Linked DNA regions of Neodiprion lecontei. The protein of the gene in region 2 interacts with the protein of the main gene of each other region in a biochemical or structural test. Links are inferred from orthologs where the notes say so. Each region holds a gene or a part of one and is shown on either strand. Other genes may lie near its edges.

Region 1 (5,098 bases), on a different chromosome or scaffold from region 2:
AGGATGGTTCGTTTGTCAAGGTTTCTTTGTTTTTTTAGAGTGCCGCTCGAAAAGTATGTGATAAATACTGAAACAAAAAATTATCATAAAACAATATAATCATAAAACCTGACGAAGGTAGGAAAATATTTAGAAATCACTACCAATTATTGTAATATTTTTCATCTATTTTTATGGGTACACCTTATGGGCTTATATGGACATTAGATTATTATTTGTTTATTTGTACCGTGATCCAATTAATCGTTCACCAATCAACAGCAAGGTGTGCCTGACGATTCCGCGGTTGGCTGTTCTCGTCCTTTATCGGACAGATTATTAATCGGAGACATTTGGATGTCAGTTTTTGCTACCGAAATAGTAGTATCGCATCGCCTTAATGTCCCTGTTTCGATTTCGGTACTGGCATTTATGAACAATGAATAATTGGACCACAATAGTGGTCGTTTTCGTATATATATATATATATATATATATATATATATATATATATATATATATATATGTATGTAAGTCCGTGGGGTGTACACGTAATAATAAAAAAAATATAACAATAATTGGTAGCGACACAGAATATTTTTCTACCTCCTCCAGGTTTTACGACAACTTTTTTGGTCAGTATTTGTCAAAAATTTTTCGAAGTGCAGCTTAAAAAAAAAAGTTATAAAATGAACTACCCTAACGCGAACCAACTTTCTTCACATTTCCGGGACGGGGTCACACCGCGGATTCACGAGGTTCAAGTTAGCAACGTTATCGTAACGAAACATCGGGAAAAACATCACTATTTTCTTATTTTTACAACGATCTTGAAGAGAGTGAGATCAGAAAACACGAATATGTTTTGTTTTATTATGTTTTACTGAATTTCAAACAATGCGCAAATCGCAAACTAACAATTTCTCCTCATTGCAGGATGAATCGTGACGATAACGTTGCCAACTAACTCCAACATGATACGGATTCGGTCTCAAGCTATTTTACGCTTATTGCTAGACACGCGATTCGCACAATACACGAGCAGTCCGATGCATAACGCTGCACTTCGTTCTACAGTAGGACCTCGTTTGTCCGAGGGTAATACGGGGAGATGATAACTCGAATAATACGGAAAACGTACGTACAATCCAAGCAATCACGATGTTCTACCCTTGATTCCAGAATCGGAGCTGTCGCGTTTGTATAAACTCGCAACAAAACTTTTGCAAGCTCACGCGTGTTCAAACAAAGTAGAGCCACAAAACTATTTGGTACACATAGGTGTACGACATAGACATAACGAATTATTCCATTTTATCCAATGTTCTCCGTATTATCCAAACAAGATATGCACCGGTCAATGCGGAACATCGGCTGTAATCGAAGGTTGGATAAGCGAGGTTTCTACTCTACTTGCGGTAATACGAAACGAACTGTCGTCGTCGTCCCGGTGCCACAACGACGACGACGACTGCCGAGGGTAAGAGTCACGCGCAAAGTAATTAATCGTATCACCGCGATACCGTACGTGCATACATACATATAGACACCGGCGACATAGTGACGGCAACATGCATCGGTAGTCAACAGTTTCTTACTGTCAAGAGGATAATAAACGCGATTAACCTCTCGGGGTAAAACTCAACATCGTCTCTTCGCCGAGTGTGCGCGTGCCATGGTGAATTCGCGTTACGTTACATGCGTGCATATATACTATATACATATACACTACTATACATATATATACACACACACATATACCGCAGCAACGAAGAACGCGAGAGGAGAAGGAGAGCCTGCCTGCATGCGTAGTAGACACCTATATTCGATATGCTGGAGCGAGAGGGAGGAGAAGCAGAAACTGGCGCAGCTGGTCGAGGAGGAGCGAATCGACTCGTCGTCCTCCTCGTTGCGAATCACGTGAATCTTGCGAATCTTTGTACTTAACTCACGCCGAGTTCATCGAACGCTCGCTCATTATTCGCCTCTCCACGACACGTACGGACTTATCCCCGCGCGTTAAACAAATTTGTCATTTGTACCCGTCGTAACAAGATCGCGTACATATACGTATTATGCATGTACGTAGTAGGTATAATGCACGAGTTTACGTAACTGCATTAATTCTCAGCCCTCCAGGCGCCTGCAGCACTCTCTCTTCTCTCTCTCTCTCTCTCTCTCCCTTCTTTTGTTACATCCTTTTCCAACTTTAGTTTTAATTTTGTTACATATTGATTTTATTTTCATTTTATGTTCATACGTATTTTCTACATACCGCCTGAGGGGACTTGTCCCAGGGCGAATAAATGCTTCTTTCTCTCTCTCTCTCTCTCTCTCTCTCTGTCTCTCTCTCTTTCTTTTTTGCTCTATCTCTCGCGGTCTCTTGGCAAAATCGATGCGGGTATTTCACGGAGAGAAAAATTGTACATATACGACGAGAAAGAGACTATACGTGCCAACAAAGGCTACATAGAAGGTACAAGGTACAAGGCATGAGGTAGGTAGGTTGCCGGAAGACCGGAGGATCTCAGTATTCTCAGTTCTCTTCATGCTCCGCCGTTTATTATCTATCTCTCGCTTCCTCTCGGCGACGATGATCCTTTCCTCTCCCCATCTCTACATCTCCCTCTACACGTCTCCCGCTTCCTCTCCTCACGCGCATAGGCACAAAGAAAAAATTAAGTACCACCGCCTGCATAACGACGTCGCGGTGCGTTAAGCGCGGTCAGAATGTGACCCGCATAGATTCGCGGCTCTAACGACATCGCATTGCATCGCATCGATGCTCCCCGTTCCTCGGGTCAATGTTTCGTTCTCTCTGTCGCGACTCGCGATTCGCCCGTTTCAACATGCAGACGACCACGACCCCGATACCGCGACTACTTGCATACGTATCATTCGATTTTCACGGAGAGACCTACGGCGATAACATGAGGGAAAGAGGAGAGGGGCGGGGAGGGGAGGGGGAAGAAAGAGTATCGCGTTTGAATAAGATAACCAGACGCGGAGTAGACGAAAGCGAGAGAAAGGAGGAGAAAGGAGGAGAAGGGAGGAGAGACGACATAGCGGCATGGGTACACATATAGATGTAGGCGGAGGTTTGAAAAAGGGAAACAGTATCCAGACTTACCGCAATGCAGCAGAGATATCCAAGGGTCCTAACAAAAACATCCAAGGGCGAGCCACTCTTTCCGTCGTTCTTTTCTTTCTTCCGTTCTTTCTCTCGCTCCTCCCTCTCTCTTTCTCTCACTCTCCCTTATTCACAGCGTGCAGCGCCGTGCACGAATGACGAAGACCTTCTGTTCTCTTCGACGAAAAATTCCAAGACGTGAATCACATCGTGTCGTAGTAAACCGGGGGTTGGGAAGAAAACCGCGACCCAACGACGACGAAGACAAGGGGGTCAGGCGGGGAGGGGGTGGCGGAGAGGCAAGAAAAGGGAGGCAGGGCGAGGAGGGGACGGGGGTCGCCGGAATGGTCGACGAACCGTGGTGGGTCGGTAGGGGGTGAGGGGCTGCCGCTGCTGTCACGAGAGGAACGGCATGACCAATAAACGAATATATCGCTTTAGCCCCCGGGTCTCTGACCACCTTTACGCACCACTTATATTTTCACCCCGAGTTAGTAACAACGATACTGGAATCACCTTCTCACTATTCACGATTCGAAATTCCCACTCCTCCGTTGCTTATCGTTCACTATTTAATTACAAAATAAATACCACGGTCGAGGAGATAGACGGAACGGAGGAACTTTTCAGACGACGCGAGAAGGGCTGCCGACCAAATCGATGCGTGATGTTACATTTCCCAGCTGTCTTTTTTGATTCTGCGGATGTGCCTCGGGGCCCGCGCTATCTAACGGACGTAGGGCGAAAGCCCTTAAAAGTTGATTCTGCGCATCGCCGCTATACCCTCGGCGCTTCGTGCACACCGAACGTGCCGCCATCTTGCCGGGAAGTAGTGAACTAGCTTTGCCGCAGGGCGCCAATATTCAAATCTGTAACAAGAAAATTTGGACGATTTTAGATAATTGTACCAAGTGTGTATCCTCTCGCGTTTAACAACATTGTGGATAATCAGCGAGATACGTACCCATTGTACACCGTTCTTCTCTTCTCAGTAAAGTTTATTCAAGTATGCTTCATTCCTTCGTACAATATTATACAAGAACGATATTTATAGTATGTATATACATATACCATATGTATACATATATCTAAACTTAAAGTCGGTTATGGTATAGCAAGTTAATTATGCTCCAATTCGCGTGTTTTCTATACTTAAAACGTCACCATATTATTTTAATAACAGTAAATAGTAACATAATAATTTACCTACATAATATTGTATTATGTATACATGTATAATCGATTAGTTATTTATATATATACATATATATACACATATATATATATATATATATATATTATTTTATTTATTTTTTTGCTTTTTCTTGCGTCTTTAAGAAGGTGCTCTGTAAAAAAAAAAAAAAAAAAAAAAACTCTAGTCCTAACTAATCGTACAATAATAGTTATTATTATAATAATAATTTCAATTAGAAGTATGGGTATGTGTACCATACAACGCCGAACGCTCGTTTCATTGCATACATATACATATGTACAATAATTCGATGGTATTTTGATCGCCGTTTCTGTTTTTTCTCACGTGTCGCAAAAAGTGCGCCAATTCCAACTATTGCCATTCAGATGCAAAAGAGGGATAAAAATAAAAATAAAACGTTCAGAACGAATCAGCGTTCGTTGCACCGAATGAATAATATCGTACAGGTTTACGCGGTTGATATCTTTCACGGGTCTCGCCGTCGACGATTATAATTCATATATGACTTGATAAAGATTGTGTTCAGCAGAAATGCTTTTTTATTCTTTTTACCTTTTCCGTAGGCAGAAAATATAATTTTATATATCAAAGCTCACCCGAAATACTCAACGCGAGAACGAACGCGCTCAACAGCCAATCTTAAGCGTCCGGGCTACATATTTTTTTTTCGTTCAACCGTTGCTAATTTTCTCAGGGTTGACCATTGATTGATCGATTGATTGAATAATTATATTAAAGGCACTTGGACCTTTTTTCACAAATTCTTAAAAATA
Region 2 (5,042 bases):
AGGTGAATTTCGTACGACGTACCAGTAGACGCCAGTTTCTCCCTCTTCTTTCCACCAGGAGAATTAATCCTGTTCAGACTTCGGTGCACGTATAATTGTTTCATCGATACTTGTACGATGTACGTAAATGTATGTATAAATAGGTACTAGTTTCGCACATCAACAAGCGACAAGGACGCCGTGAAGTAAAAGAAAATAAAAGAAACATACAACAATGACGCGATGTATACGTACAGTGATTAATCGGCGCGGCATTCACAGTTTATATATCCTGCAGGCATGCATCGTTGGTTGGTTGAGCAATAGTGTGTGTAAGTACGTAAGTTCTTAAAACACATAAGGAAACACGTGGTTCGATATCCGATGCGTGAATTTCTGCTATCTACTCAATTTGTCGCAATTCTCATTGCTGCGGTTGCGTGTTTTCTCCTTAATTTTCTTCTCTTTTGAACTTTAGAAAAAGAAAAAGAAAACGAGCGATGATTACGATGATTATGATGATTATACTCACCGCACTGACGATCGCAATCGCAACGATAAAAGCAAAGACATCGATACTAGCATTATTAATCTAGCAATAGTAGGAGTAACAACGATAACAACACACACAGAAAGAATAATGATTAAACACACCGAAATTGAAACTTTTCCTTCCTATCTTCGTGGTTCTATGCTGCTTCCTTTTCGTTATCTCTTTCGGTTTGTCGATTAACAAATTCGATCTTCCAGTTTTCCACTACAAAAACAAATCGCGTTTTCACGCCAATAATTTGTTGCATCGTTACGGCGTATAATCACTATTACTATTATAATTATTAGTCATTCGCGCGTTCCGTTGGTTCGTTATTTTATTTTATTTTACCTTCTAAATCTTCTCTTTAAGTAGATATAGAAATTCCTCGTTGTTGCGTTCACATTTGTTTCCCCTTTCGTCTATCTAGGTAACTATTACAGCGTAGTACTTTATACACCTCTTCATTTTTATTATTTATTTATTTTTTTATATATTTTCTTGTCAATTTTCAATTTTAATTATATAATATACTTGCTGTACTCTCCCAAAATTCTTTTTCACATTGTCCTATCTAACTACTACCTTTAAGTATTTAAATTGTTCGGGTTTCTTTGTAATCTCCTTTTACTTTTCTCCTCTTCACTTTCTTCTCATCTATTAAATACCTACTTCCTCCCTGTCACCTCGACGCAACGGCGGCGTTAACGATACGGATTTCTCCTACGTTCTAGATCAGGCACAGAGCAATTCGTATCTCATCTCGTACCACCTTGTACACCGTTCTCCGCTGGCCTGCGAAATAATGTTATCGAAACCCCCGACGTTGTTCCTGCACGGATGCTGATTGTTGTCTAAACTATCGCAAGGCATGGCGGTGGTGGCCGCCCCCGATCCCCCAGGCGTGAACCCAAAAAAAATCCCCCTCCCTCTATCTCGTCTTAAATTTTTTTCCTCGCTTCGTTGAGAATTCCTCGACGATTAAGCACCTCGTCGTTTTACACCGGTCTTATGACCACAGCCGCGATTAGGAGGAGGATAGATAACGGACGAGTCAAATATCTCCCTATCGCATGTTATCACTTCTCACGGTTATTCGAACTGCGCGCGGTGGCGGTTTGTCTTTTGTTTACCTCCTCACTTCACTTGTTTACAAGATCAAGGAACACTAGTTGCAGATCATCTTTTGTCCTACAGCATGCGCGCGCGTGTTGTGTCTCCGTATGTGTCGTATCCTCTATGGCAAAAGCGAGAACCATGAACTAAAAGAACCGTCGTGAGAAATACACTCTCTAACGGCGAGGGGGGTGGTAGGTTAGTAGTCACGCTAGACGAGAATGACGGTCGACTCACTGCTCACGTTCACCAACGTGCTCACTGACTCAAGGCTTCGCCGCCTCCGGTTCCTTATCCTTACTACTACGGGAGATCAGTTACTAATCCAGGTCGAGAGAGCGAGAGGTGTGCATACATGCAGGTACTGTACAAGTACACGCACAAGTAGTGTATAATTTATACGTAGAAGGCGAAACAACAAACGCGTATGCACAAAACACACACATACCACACGTAACAAACACGTAGAATAATATCACACTCACAAAAGAAAACACTCGAAGCCTATGTGCACTGTGCCGTCTCCTCCTCGATCTTCTGTTCTCTACTTTTCTCTACTCAACGACGCCACGGGCGCAACACGACTCGCCGTCTTTATTCATCAACTACTGTTGGTTATATTCTCCTCATTGTCCGTAGTCGTCGTTGTCAGCGGTATGCGCAGCACCACCTTAACACCCCGACTGGCTGGCTGGCTGGCTGGTTGGTTGGTTGGTTCTCCTCCTCGCGGAGGATACACGGGTTTATTTATTGTTTTCACCGCACACCACCGTCGGCCAGTTTTTCGGTCGCGCCCTGCTGCTGTCTTCTCCTATTCGACATCAGGATGGAAGCATAAGTGGAGAAGACACACGCTGCATCAACAGCAGCAGCAGCACGAAGAGCGGTGGTCGGCGCTACCAGATTAATAAAATGGCGACCAATGTGACAGTTGGTCGATCCTCTCGCGTAAATATATACCTATATATACATACAGGTAACGTACATACACAATATATATAGACAGAGATATTGGAGATGGATGAAACCTCTTCTGTTGAGGTGCGATTTGTTCACGTCGCTGCCGCCTTGTGTCGTCGATATCCCTCCACTGTGCGTGCCTTGTTCCTTTCCTTCTTTTGTTTTATATCTTTCTTTCGCGCGGATATCATCCGCTCGCTTTTATCTGTTTTACACTTATCCGCCAGAAAATTGTCACCGTCAGTTTTGACTTCTCCTATACTTCCGACCAACTTCGCGTTCCTCTGGATACGATTCTTTCCGTTACGTTCTACTGTCCAGGTTACCTTTCACCCGGATTTTCTCTCGCTACTAATTTTTCGGTACCGACGCGGACGGACGCACTTGCGCGACTCGTTTCGCTCCCCAGTCCCCTACAGCTACTGCCGCTACTCCCACCTTTGCGTACTATCCGTCTGAGAAAACACCGTCCACTCTCCCGACGACCCGGCCGCTCCTACTACCTAAAACAAGAAAACCGGTCCCACCCCGTCATGCGGGGGATGCTTCGGGGTTCGCTCCGTCGGTAACTACTAACCGTTTCCATAACGTCAGCGCGGCGACCCGGAAATTGCTACTATCCATTTCGTACAATATGCTCGATGCCCGGTATATACCAGGTGTCCTCGAGCAGCAGCTCTGTGCTTCGCAGGAAAAATTTTAAAAAATTTGACAATCACGCTAGTCGATGATTTATTTATATTATAATTGAACGATCTTGCTCTTGCGTCAAGTTTCGCAATGCAAATCGATCTCCGCAAACATCTTTGCAAGCGCTCCGGAAACGAGACTCATCGTTCCAGACCGATGTTGGTGTCCATGAGTTATTTACAATTTTCAATATGATCTCGGAGCCCTGATGAACTAAAATCAGAAACCATATTTTGTTTCGCGTATGACATTACCTCCAGCCATGAAGCTTGATCGTTCTTCGGTACGACTTCGAAGATTGGTGAGGTGTGGGAGGTCGCATTTGCTTTAAGAATTCAGAGTCACCCGGTATATTAGTAAATTCCTCCGTTGAGCAAGATTACTCAGAGGGCGCTAGTAGTCGGATACTTTGCGCAGCTACTATCCATCTTGTTGACGTCACTCTGATTGACTCGGAAGTCTGTACTAGCCGTATTGATAACACTGATCTTTGGCGTTATTCGCGGTTCTTTGCCACGGTACCTTATAGGGCATTTCGTTGCTCTGTCGGTAAAGAAGTACCGCCACTTTCTAAGTTTTTGAAGTAAAAAAGAATACTTCCAAAATACTTTGAGCTAGAAAAATTTCGTTGAGAATCCATATTTATTAAACCTATGACAGAACCTATTCTGATTCCAGTTATAGAAATTTAGCCGCGGTCTCTTCTTTATTCATATTTTTTTAGAAATACTCGAAACATTTTAAGCTGTAACTCAGTAGTAATCACATCCATAAACAAGTATTGGGCGTTTTCCGGATCAGCTTCTACGTTGGTCACTGTGGTTTCTTTGTAGAGCCAAGCTGATGCTCTACTTCCAGATTGCACTCTAATACGGACTATGGTACGTCCTGTTGCCCCTAGTATCGACTTATCGAGTTCATCCCGTAAACCGTCTATACCTGAGGATTCCAAAGGCAATGTTCAATACAACTCTGTACAACTCTGATTTCTGAAACTTTGGAAACAACTTACCTATTAGCTTAGTGGCTGACACACCAAGCATATTCAGTCGAGGTATATCTTCTGATATTCGGTCAATTTTATTTGCAACATTTATCACCACCTGGTCTTTAATCAAGCCTTTTAATGTTGCTTGCATGTGGTCCATCTGGGCCTGCCTGTCCGGATGACTTGCATCATGCACATTCAAGATAATGTCCTGGTAATAAAACATTCATCGGTCAAAAGAGCATGACTGACTGAAGACAAAAGAATAGAATGAGCGTAATCAAAAGCCAATTACAGCATTCATGGCGTCTTCTAAAGTTGCTACAAACGGCTCAATAAGAGTGGCAGGCACATCTTGAATGAAGCCAATAGTATCGACGAACAATACTTTCAGTCTTGAGGGTAGAGTGCCTTGATGGATGGTGACATCGAGAGTTGCAAAGAGGTAATTCCTAGGGTGCAGGCTTGAATCTCCAGTGAGAGCTTTGATCAAGGAAGTTTTCCCAGCGTTTGTGTAGCCGACAACAGCGATAGTGGGAATCTTATTTTGTAATCGTTTACTCCTCAGCAAATGTCTCTGTGCCTTAAGTTTAAGGAGGGCATTTTTAAGCTTGGTTTCGCGGACCTGAAGAAGCTTTCGATGTGATTCAAACGTACCCACGTGTTCTTCTCGGGTCTCTTTAACGACATTCAACTTCATCCACATGTAGGGAATCTCTGCTATTGCAACCTGCAGTTTTGCCTCTTGACTTTTGGCGTGAGCCCTAAATATCTGTA

What was found.
Region 1: the proteins of plexin-A4 (region 2) and semaphorin-1A form a complex in vitro, tested with the Drosophila melanogaster proteins (2 studies listed by BioGRID). The link is inferred for Neodiprion lecontei from reciprocal best matches to the Drosophila melanogaster genes PlexA and Sema1a.

Annotation. Positions count from the first base shown.
Region 1 is NC_060266.1:25,992,547-25,997,644, reverse strand, and holds the start of semaphorin-1A, read right to left. Parts: upstream 3,285-5,098; 5' UTR 3,110-3,284; intron 1-3,109. UniProt on the Drosophila melanogaster protein: Involved in growth cone guidance through its role in axonal repulsion. Function in neurons is essential for adult survival, motor neuron survival, and is important for climbing behavior and activity.
Region 2 is NC_060264.1:32,243,454-32,248,495, reverse strand, and holds the start of plexin-A4, read right to left. Parts: upstream 3,039-5,042; 5' UTR 2,113-3,038; exon of another isoform or gene 634-2,112; intron 1-633. Other genes in the region: putative GTP-binding protein 6, read right to left, coding at 3,984-4,216, 4,290-4,476, 4,561-5,042.